2 linked regions of the Caenorhabditis elegans genome follow. The protein of the gene in region 1 interacts with the protein of each later gene in a pairwise test. Each region holds a gene or a part of one and is shown on either strand. Other genes may lie near its edges. The genes, in order: pyc-1 and cdc-37.

What was found.
Region 2: the proteins of pyc-1 (region 1) and cdc-37 interact in a two-hybrid assay, tested with the Caenorhabditis elegans proteins (one large-scale study listed by BioGRID).

The regions. Positions count from the first base shown.
Region 1 is NC_003283.11:11,816,415-11,825,821, reverse strand, and holds pyc-1 (Pyruvate carboxylase 1), read left to right. Parts: upstream 1-3,456; 5' UTR 3,457-3,469; coding exon 3,470-3,571; intron 3,572-3,621; coding exon 3,622-3,828; intron 3,829-3,872; coding exon 3,873-4,299; intron 4,300-4,345; coding exon 4,346-4,962; intron 4,963-5,108; coding exon 5,109-5,455; intron 5,456-5,502; coding exon 5,503-6,263; intron 6,264-6,307; coding exon 6,308-6,981; intron 6,982-7,041; coding exon 7,042-7,284; intron 7,285-7,542; coding exon 7,543-7,692; 3' UTR 7,693-8,039; downstream 8,040-9,407. Other genes in the region: D2023.4 (Thialysine N-epsilon-acetyltransferase), read left to right, coding at 103-168, 218-305, 347-423, 472-723. UniProt on the Caenorhabditis elegans protein: Pyruvate carboxylase catalyzes a 2-step reaction, involving the ATP-dependent carboxylation of the covalently attached biotin in the first step and the transfer of the carboxyl group to pyruvate in the second.
Region 2 is NC_003280.10:576,463-584,169, forward strand, and holds cdc-37 (Hsp90 chaperone protein kinase-targeting subunit), read right to left. Parts: upstream 4,132-7,707; coding exon 4,040-4,131; intron 3,431-4,039; coding exon 3,043-3,430; intron 2,997-3,042; coding exon 2,388-2,996; intron 2,253-2,387; exon of another isoform or gene 2,199-2,252; intron 1,748-2,198; coding exon 1,625-1,747; downstream 1-1,624. Other genes in the region: W08F4.7 (CW domain-containing protein), read right to left, coding at 129-214, 266-329, 804-911, 1,168-1,270; W08F4.3 (Sigma non-opioid intracellular receptor 1), read left to right, coding at 4,159-4,294, 4,356-4,477, 4,530-4,779, 5,196-5,374; fbxb-14 (F-box associated domain-containing protein), read right to left, coding at 5,649-6,287; W08F4.12 (F-box domain-containing protein), read right to left, coding at 6,762-6,895, 6,966-7,090.

The sequences.
Region 1 (9,407 bases):
CAGAAACCACTGATATCGAAAAATGATTTTTCATCTTCATTGTGTGATAAGAATTTCAGTTCATAACTTTTGAAAATTGTTCTTCACTTTTATCGTTAAAGTATGAAAAACTTCGAAATTGTCACCGTTACCCCGGATCATGCCGAACAACTCATTTCAATGATTCATGTAGGTTTATTTCTTCTTCTTTATTTGAAAAGAAAATAAACATTTGCAGGAGCTCGCGGAGTTTGAAAAAATGAAGAGCAGCGTGGTGAATACTGCCGAGAAATTGAGAAAAGATATTGAAAACAAGGCAGTGCATGGTACGATTTTGATTTTTAATTGATCATAAATCGAAATTTAGGATTCATTGCATTTATCGGAGAGGAGCCAGCTGGAATGAACCTTTTTTACTATGCATATTCAACATGGGTTGGGCAGGTATTTATGAAACAGTACTGAAATTCAACCAAAAAATCATCATTTCAGTATCTTCACATGGAAGATCTCTACATTCGACCTCAGTTCCGACGAATGGGACTAGCAAGAACTCTGTGGAAGAAGCTGGCTGAGTTGGCTCGAGACAAAGGAATTGTTCGTCTCGAATGGGCAGTTCTCGATTGGAACAAAAATGCGATTGCTCTGTACGACACTGTTGATTATGTAAATTTGACAAAGAGCGAAGGATGGTTCACTTTTCGAATGGACGGTGCGGCGATAAATAAATTTGCTGATGAATAGATATGTTACTTTTATTGGTATAGAACTTTTGAAATGTTCTGCAATTTAAATAAAGTTATTTATTATAGATTTTTTGAATTTTTAAATTTTTATTTTTACCGGATATTCTCAACCCGTGTGAATTATTTCAACCTCCCAATATTATCGATATTATCTTCTAATTTCCCTAAAATTAAAATTGTGTGAGTCGCCCACATTTTTTGGCAATTTACAGATTGACCTTTTCTCCTTTTCTGTATGACACTTCCTATCGCGTACTAGAGATTTCTGTGCTTTTGATCTTATCGATTTTGATCGGATTACCAGTTCAAAATTGTTTTACCACACTGATTACTTCTGGTTTTTTGATCCTTCATAGCAAAGTTTCAGCACGATCTATATTTGTTTCTTCTCATTTTGACACTCAGAACTTTCTGGGTTTAATTGATAAGCGAGAGGAACAGTACCCAAATTTTAAGAAAATCTATGCCACCTATGTTAGAGTTATCTATTATAAATTTAAACAAGTTGCCATATCCAGAAAATTATCATAATATCCTTTTATGGAATCTTCTGAAAATTTAAATTATTTAATGTTCTAATAATTTAATATAAAACAAAATTTAAAAAGATCAGTATCGAACACAATTTTACAAACTTAATTGTGATGAAAATTTACTTTTTATCAACTACTTTTATATCGTATCTATAAAGTTTTCATAAATTAACATTTGTTCTATGTACCCTTTGATCTTTTCACTTTTGACCTCTAATCTCAATGAGACATCAATTATTCAAAATGTGCACGTATTTTCTTTACCCCTCCTCTCTTTTCATACAGCAGTTCTGAGTACGTTCATGGTGCATCGTTTTCTAAACTCAACAGTCGTGTTTCTTTCTCACAAGTCTTTTTTCCTCTACGTTTACGAGTCTCTTATGCCAACCTCGTGATCGCCAGTGATTGCCGAAAGTGCGAAGAACGATCAAAATTTGAAACTTATCGAAGCTGGTTCTGTGATGTTTTGATTAGTACGAAATAAGTCATGTCATGATAGATCGAAAATTCATAGATTCTGAGATTTTCGATTTTCAGCGATAATCTAGCTATCAGATAAAATTTATGTAAACAATTTTCACATAGTCTTTCAGTTTCCAACCCTGAATTTCTAATTTTATCATTGAAATTCTTTCGTTAAATGGAATCCAAATCTTGTTTATTGGCCAGTTTAATTTTATTAAATGTGTTTCATTGATCATTAAATATCATTATGTTGATCTTTAAAGTGAACTTAATTAAATCATTTTTATTTTCAGCCCTTTACGAAAATTAACTATCCCACTACGACCAAAAACAGTTTTGAACATTTTGACATTTTGAAAAATCGAAGGTTCTGAAGTTTAAATCATTTATCCTCCTCCTCTGCGTCTCAGTTTTTGTGTTCTAGTGTCCACCCGAGTCGACTGATAAGACAAAATGACACAAACACCGTCTCTCGGCTATCAGTTTGTTGTCGCCGCAAATTCATAGCCATGGTCAAAGTGTTGATCTAGTTCTCTTTGAATCTAGATTTTTTTCAAATTTTTAACTTGATTGTGATACTCTAAGACATTTTATATCTTTAAATCCGCAAAATTAAAAAAAATTATTATAGTGCGTCCATAGTCTGCGGAAAACGGGAATTTCCCGCGTGCGGAAGCGTCCATAGTCTGCGGAAAAACCGGAGTTCCTCGCTTTTTTTTTCCTCAAAATTCAAAAAGTAGGCGTGGCCAACCAATCAGCTGTTGTTTCTTGTTTTCCCATTGCTCAGCTTAAAATTTTACAGCCTCTAATTGGTTGAACACGCCCACTATTTTGAAATTGACCAATAACAAAGCGAGAAACTCCTTGTTTTTTTCCGCAGACTATGGACGCTTCCGCACGCGGGAATTCCCCGTTTTCCGCAGACTATGGACGCACCATTAACACTAATCCCCGAGATATCAAAAAAAAAAACTAACGATAGAACAGCAAAAAATATTGGAATATTTGGCCGTGCGGAATAGATATTTAATATGGCATGCTCATAAACCATTCTAAAAACTAATTTTCTAATTTTACAAAAATCCAAAACTGAATGTTGAACGTTCTGTGGCTTCTGTAGTTTCTGTAGTTTCTGATAACTTCCTTCTTTGTTTACTTTTATTTTTTTCAATTTTCCTTATTTTCTCTAGGTTCTTCGTCTGGTCTTGGGTATGCCACGTGGTTCTTCTTTCACATCTCATTTCACCGAAAAAACCTAGAAAATCGAAAAACAAAATATTTTATTTTCTTCCCTTCTCCTATCATTCTATCAATGTTATCAGTACTGTTGTTATTCTTCTCTACAAATATCACTAGGTGGTTCTATGGAGAATGAACAATGATTTTTAAATCAATTAATGTATCTTCATACATACACTCACTCTCATGTGGTGTGACCTCTTGGTCTTTTCAAAATCTCTATTGCTCTGCGTACGTGACCTTTCACATTTTTCACCGTTCTAATTTATCACGTGGTCAACGTGGATACTTCTAAAAATCTCAAATAATGTCCGAATTCCGAAGAAGTTTACCACACTTCGATTCGTTCTTGAGCTTTCTGCTCTCACACAGTAGAAGGTACACCAAAGTAATGTTTCTGTGTCTCTTCGATGTTCACACTATCATTATTGAATAATCTTCATTGGTTGTATTCACCGAATAGGTTCACCGTCTCAAAACTATGCATGTTTCAGATAAACGACAACGATGCGGTTCTCCCGCATCCCACCGATCTTCGCTAATGTCGTCCGACAGACACATTATCGTAACTATGCCAATGGAGTTATCAAACCAAGAGAATTCAACAAGGTATTTCATTTCTTTTTCGTGCTTGAAGATAAATTCGGAAATTTTTTCAGGTTATGGTGGCCAATCGTGGAGAAATTGCAATCCGTGTGTTCCGTGCCCTCACAGAATTGAACAAAACTTCTGTTGCGATTTACGCCGAGCAGGACAAAAACTCGATGCATCGTCTGAAAGCTGACGAAGCCTATCTTGTAGGAAAAGGTCTTCCACCGGTTGCTGCTTATCTGACTATTGACCAGATTATAGAAACTGCCCTGAAGGTTTGTAGGACAAAAATTGACCAAGATTATCGTACCCTTTATAGCACAACATTGATGCTATTCATCCCGGATATGGATTTCTGTCAGAGCGATCTGACTTTGCAGCTGCTTGTCAAAATGCAGGAATAGTGTTCATTGGTCCTAGCCCCGACGTTATGGCTCGAATGGGAGACAAAGTTGCTGCTCGTCAAGCTGCCATTGAAGCTGGTGTTCAAGTCGTTCCAGGAACTCCTGGACCAATTACAACTGCTGATGAAGCTGTCGAATTTGCAAAGCAGTACGGTACACCAATTATTTTGAAGGCCGCTTATGGAGGAGGTGGTCGTGGAATTCGTCGTGTTGATAAATTGGAAGAAGTTGAAGAGGCATTCCGTAGATCCTACTCGGAAGCTCAAGCTGCGTTTGGAGACGGAAGTCTTTTCGTTGAAAAGTTTGTTGAGAGACCAAGACATATTGAAGTTCAGCTGCTTGGTTAGTTTCAGCGGAAACTATTATAATTACATAATATATTTTTCAGGAGACCATCATGGAAATATTGTTCATTTGTATGAGCGTGATTGTTCAGTGCAACGTCGTCATCAAAAGGTTGTTGAAATTGCTCCAGCGCCAGCTCTCCCAGAAGGTGTTCGTGAGAAAATTTTGGCAGACGCTCTTCGACTTGCAAGACATGTTGGATACCAAAATGCTGGTACAGTCGAATTCCTGGTTGATCAGAAGGGCAACTACTATTTCATCGAAGTGAATGCACGTCTTCAAGTCGAGCATACAGTAACTGAAGAGATCACTGGTGTGGATCTTGTCCAAGCTCAAATTCGTATCGCCGAAGGAAAATCTCTGGATGATCTGAAGCTTTCACAGGAAACTATTCAAACTACTGGCTCAGCTATTCAATGTCGTGTCACAACTGAAGATCCAGCTAAAGGATTCCAGCCAGATTCCGGAAGAATTGAAGTTTTCCGATCCGGAGAGGGAATGGGAATTCGTCTTGATTCAGCATCTGCCTTCGCAGGATCAGTCATTTCACCTCACTACGATTCTTTGATGGTCAAAGTAATTGCATCGGCTAGAAATCATCCGAACGCTGCCGCAAAAATGATTCGTGCCCTCAAAAAGTTCCGTATCCGAGGCGTAAAGGTGAGAATTCAATCAAAAAATGAAATCAAAGTACACCAAATCATGTTGATAGCTATCACCATTTTCTCACTGATAAGGAAACCCATTGCCACTGACTGATATTCTGCCTGATGGCTGATCAATGACTAAACTTTAAACTTTTTCAGACAAACATCCCATTTCTGCTCAACGTTCTTCGCCAGCCCAGCTTCCTTGATGCATCCGTCGATACGTATTTCATTGATGAGCATCCAGAGTTGTTCCAATTCAAACCAAGCCAAAACCGTGCTCAAAAGTTGTTGAACTATTTGGGAGAAGTTAAGGTGAACGGTCCAACTACTCCTCTTGCTACTGACCTGAAACCAGCAGTTGTTTCTCCTCCGATCCCATACATCCCAGCTGGAGCCAAACCGCCGACTGGACTTCGTGATGTACTTGTTCAAAGAGGACCAACTGAGTTTGCAAAGGAAGTTCGCAGTAGACCAGGATGTATGATCACTGATACTACATTCAGGTATAAACTCAAAAAGAAAGTAACATATATTAATTTCACATTTTCAGAGATGCACATCAATCTCTTCTTGCAACACGAGTACGTACCTATGATATGGCTGCTATTTCACCTTTTGTTGCCCAATCATTCAATGGTCTCTTCTCACTTGAAAACTGGGGAGGAGCTACTTTCGATGTTTCCATGCGCTTCCTCCACGAGTGTCCATGGGAACGTCTTCAAACTCTTCGCAAACTGATTCCAAATATTCCATTCCAATGTCTTCTGCGAGGTGCCAATGCTATGGGATATTCAAATTATCCTGATAACGTTATTTACAAGTTCTGCGAGTTGGCGGTGAAAAATGGAATGGATGTGTTCCGTGTATTTGATTCACTGAACTATCTTCCAAATCTTCTCGTCGGAATGGAAGCCGTTGGAAAGGCCGGTGGAGTTGTTGAAGCTGCTATCGCATACACTGGAGATGTTACCGATAAGTCTCGTGACAAATACGACCTCAAATACTATTTGAACTTGGCTGATCAACTTGTCAAAGCTCAAGCGCATATTCTTTCTATCAAGGATATGGCTGGAGTTCTGAAACCGGAAGCTGCCAAGTTGTTGATTGGCGCTCTCCGAGACAAGTTCCCAGATATTCCAATTCACGTTCATACCCACGATACATCTGGAGCTGGAGTTGCTGCTATGCTTGAGTGTGCCAAAGCTGGAGCTGATGTGGTCGATGCTGCAGTTGATAGCATGAGTGGAATGACTTCTCAGCCTTCAATGGGAGCTATTGTAGCTAGTCTTCAAGGAACTAAACATGATACTGGTGAGTTACAATATCGTTTGAAAAATGTCTAATTTATATTTAAGGTCTTTCTCTTGATGACATTTCAAAATATTCTGCATACTGGGAGTCAACTCGTCAACTCTATGCTCCATTCGAATGTGCCACCACCATGAAAAGTGGAAATGCCGATGTTTACAAGCACGAAATTCCAGGAGGACAGTACACGAACTTGCAATTCCAAGCATTCTCTCTCGGACTTGGGCCACAGTTCGATGAAGTCAAGCGTATGTATCGTGAAGCTAATCTTGTTCTTGGCGACATAATTAAAGTTACGCCATCATCCAAGATTGTCGGTGACTTGGCTCAGTTTATGGTGCAAAACAACTTGACTCGCGAAACTCTTGTCGACCGTGCCGATGATCTATCCTTCCCAAAAAGTGTCGTTGATTTCATGCAAGGAAATGTCGGACAACCTCCATATGGATTCCCTGAGCCATTGAGAACTAAAGTCCTTCGTGGAAAGCCAAAAGTCGATGGAAGGCCAGGAGAAAATGCTAAGCCAGTTGATCTAGATGCTGTGAAGGTCGAACTTGAAGAGAAACATGGACGTACTTTGTCTGAAGAAGATGTGATGTCATATTCGATGTTCCCAACGGTTTTCGATGAGTTTGAGACTTTCCGTCAACAATATGGACCAGTTGATAAGCTGCCAACGAGACTCTTCTTGACTGGATTGGAGATTGCGGAAGAAGTTGATGTAAGTGATTCTACATTAATCTACATTTCTGAATTTCACGACTTATGAATTTTATTTCAGGTTGAAATCGAGAGTGGAAAAACTCTTGCAATTCAATTGCTCGCTGAAGGAAAACTAAACAAGCGTGGAGAACGCGAAGTCTTCTTTGATCTCAATGGACAAATGAGAAGTATCTTCGTGGTTGACAAGGAAGCTTCCAAGGAAATTGTAACTCGCCCAAGAGCTCTCCCAGGTGTCCGTGGACATATTGGAGCACCAATGCCAGGAGATGTTTTGGAGCTGAAAATCAAGGAAGGCGACAAGGTAATACAACGCATATCTAAAGATGTAATAAATCAATCATGCATCCGGGATATGTATTCTGAATTTCTTTGAAAAACAAAAAAAGACAAATGGGACGAATTCAGAAGCGGTGGGCCCCACAACGGAAATTGTAGGGAAAAACGGAAAGAGATAAATTTATAGCCTTATGCCTCCCACGTTTTTTCTTCTTGTCCTACACAAAAATCACATAAAAAAATGATGGCATAAAAAATGAATATAGGAATTATTTCTTTTCAGGTTACCAAGAAGCAACCCCTATTTGTGCTTTCCGCCATGAAAATGGAGATGGTCATCGACTCTCCAATTGCTGGAACCGTCAAGGCTATCCATGCACCACAAGGAACCAAATGTAGTGCCGGAGACTTGGTAGTTGAAGTTGAACCATGAACTGACATCAATAAACTCGCATTTTGTCTCTTTTTTTGTTAATTCCATTCACCATCACAAATTCCGCCACATCGAAATTATATTTGGCGTTGTGCTATATAGAATGATTAGCCACCACCTTCTCTTTGCCATTCGAACCATCTCAATGTGTATATTCTGTGTATTGCCTCCCCAAAATTTTCTAAACGTCTTCATTGCCAGTAATTTTTCGTTTTCCCTCCACTTTTGCATTTATATTGTTTTCTTAGAAAAAGTATTTATTGCATCGGGTGCTCATTGTCTTTGTGTAGAATATAAACTCGTTCACTTCTCTCTCAATTTTATCACTGAAACTCACCGAAGAGCAATGCAACTCGATAAAGCAACTCGATAAAATCAATTATTACGTAGAAATCTAATGATGGGAAGAGTCGCCATATCATACGCGCATTGGTCTCGCCACGCGAACTGCGAGCTAGCTCGTCTCACTTTACTGACCACTATTGCTGAGAAGATTTTTAACATAAAAATAGGTTGCAATGGAGACTCATAAATCAACAGGAGTTACAGTAATTTCGTGTTTGCTGGGGAAAATGTTTATCTTTAGACTTCTACATAATACCTACGTTAGTGTAAATAGTACTATTCACTACGCCATTTAATTTAAAAAAAACAAAACACAAATTATAGAGACTGAAATATCTGAAAAGAAAACGTATGTTTTAAAGTTTTATTTATTTTACTTGGGAATGGTTTCAGAGAATTTAGAATTTTAAAACAAATTTAGTGCCATTCGATAGCTGATATTATGTACTTCTTCAACGTAAGAGACCATTTTTGCCTCGGACATCTAGAACTCGAGATATTTGCGTCTGAAAATTACTACTGATTTCAGTTGATTTTCAACGTAAGCCCAACTATTTATTTCATATGGTTAAGAGTTTTTACGTGAACAGAATATACTTCAAAAAGATTTTTATTTATTTATTGTCAGTTCAAAATCACGGCTCTGTGGCTCAACGGTTCTGGGCTCATGATCAGATGATCCAAAGTTCAATATCCTGAAGTCTAACGTTTTTTTGCAATTTTTTACAGTGGCATAGGATTGTTCATATAGGGCAGACAGAACATTTTGACCCGTTTAAAATATGATTGTTTTTTCTTCTAAAACACTCAACTAACAGTTTGGAGAAATAAAAAAAACAAATATTTTTTGACATTTTGACAAAAAATCCTCCATCAAACCCATGCAAAATTTTGCTTCAAAAAATTTTTTTGAAAATTTTTTCTTAACTTCTGAAATAATGTAGAGGGCTTTGCTAGTTTCCACAAATTTAAACGTCCAAATCACAGTTTTTGACAAAAAAAAAACCGGATCTATTTTCACCGTCGATGCTTGTGAAACCACTTGTCTTTAAAATCCCAAAACTCTGTCGGAAAATTTTTTCTGGAAAAGTAATCAACTGGAAAATTATAGATCATGATTCAAACAACAACTTTTCTGTTGAACACTTTACGTAAAAAAATTTGGTTGTAGAGATATAAACGCTTGAAGTAAAGCAACACGGTCTGTTAAAGTTACAGTGGATTTCATTACAATATCTCTACAACTAAATTTGTTTTAAAGTTCTAAACCCTCTGCAAATCATTCCCTAGTTAGACTACATTATTATCGGAAAAGTACGATCGCACAATTTTCTCATAATTTATTTTTGATCTACCTTGTTGACTAGGCT
Region 2 (7,707 bases), on another chromosome or scaffold:
GCCCCCCCCCTTTTTCGTGCCGAGACCCTCCAAAATTTAAAATTGAGGGATTCTAGTCAATATGGGGGTCATTTAAAAGGTCTCGGTGAGCTGGACTCGATTTTCAGCAAGAAAATAAGTTTCCTCACTAGTATCCGTATATATCCCATCAAAAAGTCGAACCAAATATGGCTTGCATGTCTTCCAGAATCCGGATTGAGATTTTAGAGCTTCCCTGAAAATTGTTCAAATTTTTTCAAGCTGAAAAAAATTGAAAAAAAATTACGAGGTGATCCATCCGACATTGATAAGTCCAAGTGAAAGTGTAGAACTGATTGGAAGTGTGAAAACTATAAAATATCGATTTTAAATTAGAACATATTATGGGATCACATGCGTACTGCACAACATATTTGACGCGCAAAATATCTCGAAGCGAAAACTACAGTAATTCTTTAAATGACTACTGTAGCGCAAGGTGTCGATTTACGGGCTCAATTTTTGAAATTAATAAAAATAATTTATAGAATATTTAAACTAAGTAAAAAATAAGAAAATAATTCGAAAATAAATTAATTTCAAAAATCGAGCCCGTAAATCGACACCTGGCGCTACAGTAGTCATTTAAAGAATTACCGTAGTTTTCGCTACGAGATATTTTGCGCGTCAAATATGTTGTGCAATACGCATTCTAATAACATTTCTCAAAATAAAAATTGAAATGTTTGAAAAAAAAATTAATTCTTTCTGAATTTTTTGAACTTTTCCAAAAACTCTGAAATTGCAGATTAAATTATTTTTAAATCAGAAAATCAATAACTAACAAGCATTCATCACATTATACGACGAAGATCCACAAGTGACACCTCCAGTCAGGGGTACTGTAGCTGATTGGAGCGTCTCACAGTAACGAATGACAGTTGGGGTCCAATCTGGAAATTATTTTTATTTAAGAAATCATTTGTGTCACGTGGTGTCAGGCTCTTCCCATCACGGTTTGATCTACAAAAAATGCGGGAATTTTTCGCCCTAAAATGTGACGTCAGCAGGCAAAATCAGTTGAGAACTCTGCGCCTCAACTCCCGCATTTTTTGTAGATCTACGTAGATCACGCCGAAATGGCACGTTATTGGGTCTGCTAAATCAAAATTTGAAGTTTGTAGGCTAGCAGACCCATCCTAGACTCACTTCCATACAAGCTCAATTGTGCCAAGGAAAATGGGACAAAAACTAGTAGAATAAGCCGCGAATTTACCATTTTCAGCCAAAAAATGACCGATAATACATCCATTATTGAACTTTATAGTTGTCAGGCGGAGACTAACGTTTGCTTACAAAACATCACTTTCAAAAAATCGTGAGAAAAAAAAACGAATAAACACAATAAGAAGAAAGTTGATGATGATAATCTTTATGCTATTCCGAATTGGAATTTTTGAATACGAAGTGGAACGATTCTCGAAGCAAAAAAAAACTTTTTTACAGGTGTTCGAGAGGGAAAATAAACAGTAAATGTCGTGGGGGGTGTAGAATAAATAAAGAAATAATTGGGCCATTTTCAGTGAATCTTGGGGAAAAAGTAAAGTGCGGTGCAGAAAAAACAAGTAGATCAGGGGAACTTTCAAACGGGGAATAATGGGGAAATTTAGGAGCTGGTTGTTGGCTCTTCCTCGGCTGGAGCAGCTTCCTCATCGTCGTCGTCGTCGTCAGCTTTTCCGGGCACCCAGAGTCCAGAGGCGATGCATCGATCGAAATGGTACTTGAAGACCTGAAAATTTGGATTTTTGGATGTTGAAATTAGATGAATTTGGCTAAAAATAATAGCCTACAAACTACTAATTTCGATTTAGCAGACCATAGGTGGTTTTGAAGAAATTTGGTCTGCTAGACTACAAACTACAAAACTCGATTTAGCAGACCAAAATTAAAAAATGCCTGTTTTCAGCTTAAAATTTTGATTTTTGATTCGTTTTTTTTTGGAATACAATGTTAATTCACTCAAAAATTTGAAAATAGATCAATTTTCCCCCGAAAGTTCAGATTTTTTCAGGATTTTATATTAAAATACGCACTTTTGTCTTAAAACACAAAAATCGCACAATTTTCCACTAAAAATCGCAAAAAACCTGAATTTTTGCTAATTTCTATTTGAAAAATATTCATTTTTCCGCTGAAAAATTGAAAATTTATCAATTTTTGCAATTTTCATTGCGAAAATTGAAAACTTTGGGTCTGCTAGTCTACAAACTACACATTTCGATTTAGCAGACCAATGCCATTTTGAAGAACCTTGGTCTGCTAGACTACAAACTACAAATTCCGATTTAGCAGACCAATGCCATTTGGAAGAAACTTGGTCTGCTAGACTACAAACTACAAATTTCAATTTAGCAGACCCAAATATTCACCTCTTCATCCATTTTCTGGGCGACACCCTTCAACGCCTCGATATCATGTGCCTCAAAGCACTTTCTCATCTCCTCCGGCAGCTGCTCGAACACTTCCTGTGGATCGATTCCTCCCGGAGCACTCTTCATTCGTTCGGCTTTCTCCTCGGCTTCAGCCTCCTCCATCGCGGCGTCTCTCTTCGTCTGCGCACGTGTTCTGAGACGATCCTCGAACGCCTTCACCTCATCCTGATAGTGCTTCATGTAGACCGGCTCGGCGGCTTCGAACTTCTTGAAGAATTGCTTCTGGACGGTGGTATTCGTGGCGACTGCGTTCAGCGATTTCGAGAGCTCCAGAAGATATTGAATGATGATGCATTGCTCAGCCATCGTCTTCATTTTCTCCTCATTAAAATCGATGGCGGCGTTGAGAGCCTCAATTGTGAGCCAATTTGCAGTGTACTCCGACGCCATATGCGGATGCTCGGCCAGGAACAGCTCCGTCGACTTGGCTCCGTTCTTGAGCACGGCCATCTTCTCCAGAAGGCTCTCGTGAGTCTCGAAGAAAGTGCTCATCGCATGAGTGTCCTCCTCATCGGTTTTGGGAGCTTGCGGCTTCTTCTCGGTGATCTGAAATTACAGAATTAATCAATTTGCACAGAAAAATCTTCAAAACCTTATTGATCCTCGACGTGCTGAACGCCTCATGACCGATCGTGTCGACGTTCCATGGCTCCAGACGCTCTTTCTCCTCGAGTTCGGCCTCCTTCTTGCGCCAGGCTTCTTCTTGCGCCTTCACCTCGTCGATTTGCTTCTGAATATCCGACTTGTCAGTGACATCGGCTGCGGCAAGCTTCTTCTCGAGCTCCTCCATCTTCTTGCTCGTCGTGCCCTTTTCCTTATCGATTTTCTCCTGTTCCATCTTCTTCTCGGCCATTCGCTCCAAACGAGCTTGATGGCGCCATCTGAAGAGCGACGGAGTGTCAATGTTCGGGTGAGTGTCGTCCTCGTCGTCGGAAACCTCGATATCCTTCCATTTGGAGTAGTCGATTGGCATTTTTGAGCTGAAAATCGAGAAAATTGAGTGGAAAATAAGGAATTAGCAGGAAAAGCGAGAGAAAACTGATAATCGCTGGAAAATTCCGACTCGGTTGCCACGACAACGAGGATAATCCGCGTGAAATTACGAAAACAGAAATTTCATGAAGAAAACGTGGCATTATAATGATGTTTCAAAGGATTTACGTGGAATTAACTATTTGCTGAGCAATTTTCGAGAAATTTCTTCAAAATTTCTCAAATAGAAATACTACGTTTTCTAGCGGATTTCGGCCTTTTTTTTGGCCCAAAACTCCGACAAATTGATTTTTAAAAGCCTGTAGAATTAAATTTAGACTTCTAAAAGTGGAAAAAATCGAAGGAAACCCCGAAAATAACATGAGAAAGGCGAAAAATGACTTTTGTTTTTCTTCTCGGTCCTTCTGTGGCAATGCGCGTCAGATATGGTGTTTTCTGTGTGCTTCTGCGTCACGGTGTTTGCACACAATTCCTTTTTCGCTGATTTTTTTAATTTTCAGCGCGCTGCAGCGCCATTTCTTGCATTTTTCAAGCATTTCCATTGATTTTTCCGCGAAAAAACATCTGAAATTTCAAAAAATCAATGTTAAACTCACAATTTTTCTTCTTCGCACTCGCTGTCCCTCTTGAAAACTCGCGAAATGACTGTATTTCCTTTTTTTTTCACGCAAAATTTCCAAATTTCCATGTTTTCAGGGTAGTTCAACACGTGAAAATGGCTCTTCTCACCTCAAAGCTTCGGTATCTTCTGCTCTTCTACGCAGTCTTCCAGGCTGCTCAATTTGGCCTCCGCTGGAAGTCTTATGACATCTCGCCGAAGCAGTTCAAGACTATCGCTGGAAAGGCTGCTGGTGAGGAAAAACATATTTTTCTGCGAAAATACCGCAATTTTAATATATTGTATATTTTCAGCTGCTCCAACAATCTCCCAGTCAATTTCCACATTGACGTCTGGAATGCGCACTTATTACGAGCCAATCATGCCAAGTCACTTCGAATGGCACGCTATTCAGTTGGGAGGCCTCACTTTAAGGGTGAGGAACAGGAAAAATCGAAAAAAAATCTTAAATTTAATGAATTTTCCAGATGTACCCAATGCTGACCGCTTTCACCGAGTTCGCCGCCGCCTTCTCCGCTCCGTTCCCAACTTCAGGACGCCCGGGGCTCCATTGGGCAAATACGACGTGCACCGTGTTGAAAGGAAAAGTCAGCCGATTCAATGACGGAACTCAGGACGAGACGTCGGAGAACTTTGCTTCGGGAGCCGCTTTCAGGCACGGACAGTTCGAGTCCCACGTGTACAGCTTCGAGAAGGACACCTACGTCGCGTGCTACGGTAAATTACACCGAAAATCAAGGAAAATTCGTTTTTTTTTGAGTCTGGCAGACCAATTTCGAATTAAAATCACCTGGGTCTGCTAAATATAATTTTGTAGTTTGTAGTCTAGCAGACCAATTTCGAAATCAAATCACTTGGTCTGCTAAATATAATTTTGTAGTTTGTAGTCTAGCAGACCAATTTCGAACTGAAATCGCATGGTCTGCTAAATACAGTTTTGTAGTTTGTAGTCTAGCAGACCAATTTCGAATTGAAATCACTTGGGTCTGCTAAATATAATTTTGTAGTTTGTAGTCTAGCAGACCAATTTCGAACTGAAATCGCTTGGTCTGCTAAATATAATTTTGTAGTTTGTAGTCAACCAGACCCATATAAAAATCCCCTCGTTTCTAATGAATTTTTATATTTTTCAGGTCGCGGCTTCCTCCCACTCTCCTCCACCGTCCACGTCACCTCTGGAATCTCACTCGGCGAGCCACTCTCGGTCATTCAATTCTACATGAAGCAGGCCTACAACTACTGGAACAACCTGAGCCACACCCTCTATCGTGTCTTCCAGCACTACAAGGCCCGCGCCACTGGAGAACTTTAAATAATTTATGTGATTCCCCATCCGGTGCATTTCTACAAGCATTCTAACCCGAAATTTTCATTTATTCAGTCATGTTTTATCCCAATGTCCCCCCTCTACTTCCATTTTTACGGTTGTGTAATTCGATTTCTTGAGCCATTTTATTGCATAATTTAAAATACAAGAACATATTTATTTCATCACCTCAACCATTTAACCATATAGCTCAACCGAAAAAAATAATTGCACAGGTATTTGAAGGCATTTGCAGTGAAAGATGATCAAAAGTCGCTGCTTACTCATCGTCGGCCAGCCGGACGAATCGAACAGTAGTTCTGGTGAGGGAAACCTTTGCCTTGATCCCTCTTTTGCACACAATTTGGACGTGTTGAACCATTCCATCATCCACGACCAGAGGATCTTCGTATCTAGTAAAGTCTATTCCGCGGAGAATAGTTCCATGTACAGGATGCTCAATATTCAGACCATCTACAACAAGATCACTGATTCTCAGCTGTGAGTTCTGAATCCAGATCTTCAAGAACAAGTTGACATCCTTTGCAGTCATTGAGTGGTGCAATGAACGAAGCGTTCGACTATTTGACAAGAACACCTCGTTCAGTGTGAGATTGGTGACTTTCAGCTCCTCATAATTTTGAACCAAGAGTTCTTTTCTTATTGGGACCACGACAATCTCCAGGTTCTCTGGATGAGTCCCGAAGAGATGGTGCCCCTGAACTTCCGTGGATGTGGTGCTGCAGCTCGCGATCTTCCTGTTCTCAAAGAGAGAACAAATCGTTTTTATCTCTTCATTCATCCCATTTTCGAGGTTAATGTGGATTTGCCGGTTCTGATGCAAAACCTCGTGGATGTGGTCCAGGAACTTGATAAGTGTGAGGTGAGGAATCTCGATTTCGTCTTCAGATCCTCGCATATTCCTTCTAGCTACCACCCTCGGTGGATTTTCTTTAAATATGAATAAATATCTGTCATTGAGACTGGACCTCAGCCTGATTGTCGAATCAGAGAATGTCAAACTTTCGTGGTTCCCGTTGACTCTGGCAACCGCAGTTTTCGCTTTTGCTGAGAGTAGCGAGATCGAGAATCTGAAATAACATAAGGTTTGGGAGTCAACTTGAAGCTGTTATTTTGGGGTTTCTTCCAAATTAATTCTTTAAAGAATAATAAGAGTTGGAGGTTTTGAGGTTATTACGGTTTATTAAGGATAAATTAATAGAGAAATCACCGAGTTAATGGGACATGTAAGGAGGGGAAAAGGACGATAAGTAACACAAGTAAAAGGAATTAGAGAAGACCTAGAATGAGCGTTTCCGGCTCCTTATATAGGGGAATTGGGCGGGGCCAAGAAAAGTCGAGAATGATGACAATTAGAGTTGGCGCCGGCAATTCAGATCCGCGCGCCGTCCGGTGGGGCGCGCTTGCATCGTGACCTCCAAACGTTGGCAGGCCTAGTCGTTGTCTTGGGCAGCGGTTCTGGCCGGATAACCGTGATGTTATCCGCTACGACATCACTTGCTGGACCTGTAAGACTATACGAAAGTAATGCTCTTGTATGACGGTGGGAGAGTACAAGGATCGTGAAGATTCTTACAATATCTGTCATTGAGACTGGACCTCAGCCTGATTGTCGAATCAGAGAATGACACACTTTCGTGGTTCCCGTTGACTCTGGCAACCGCAGTTTTCGCTTTTGCTGAGAGTAGAGAGATCGAGAATCTGAAATAACATAAGGTTTGGGAGTCAACTTGAAGCTGTTATTTTGGGGTTTCTTCCAAATTAATTTTTTAAAGAATGAATCGTCAGTGGGGATTCAGTATGAATTCAATAGTTCAATTTGACCGAATATCAAAATGAAACTGTCCAAAAATTTTCAGATTGTTAAAGTTTCAGCAAAAGTTTTGGTAAGTTGCCAAAAATGTCTTTTTTTTTTAATTTTTTTCAGTGTACTTTTTGGAACATTGGCTGCATATCACAATAAAACGTTTCAAAAAATTTCTGAAAGTTTTTTATTAACTGCAAAAAAGTGGCAATTACTCAGTTTTTGCCACTCATAATTTTGGAAGTCGACCAAAAAAAAAAGTTTTTTTCTACATTTTTTATGTTTTTCATGTTAATTATTCGTATTAAAACATATGTACCGTATTTCTTGCGAAGAAGTTGCGAAAACCAACGGGATTGTGAGCGAAATTTAGCTTTACATCTGCGAAGAAATTGAAAAAGTCGTCTGAAAAGCTGCAGAAGTTTGCTTAAAAGCTAACATGCCTAATTGTTGTTAAGAAGTTGCAAGAGTATGCTATGAAGTTAGACCGTATTGCCGAGTAGAGTAGAAGTTA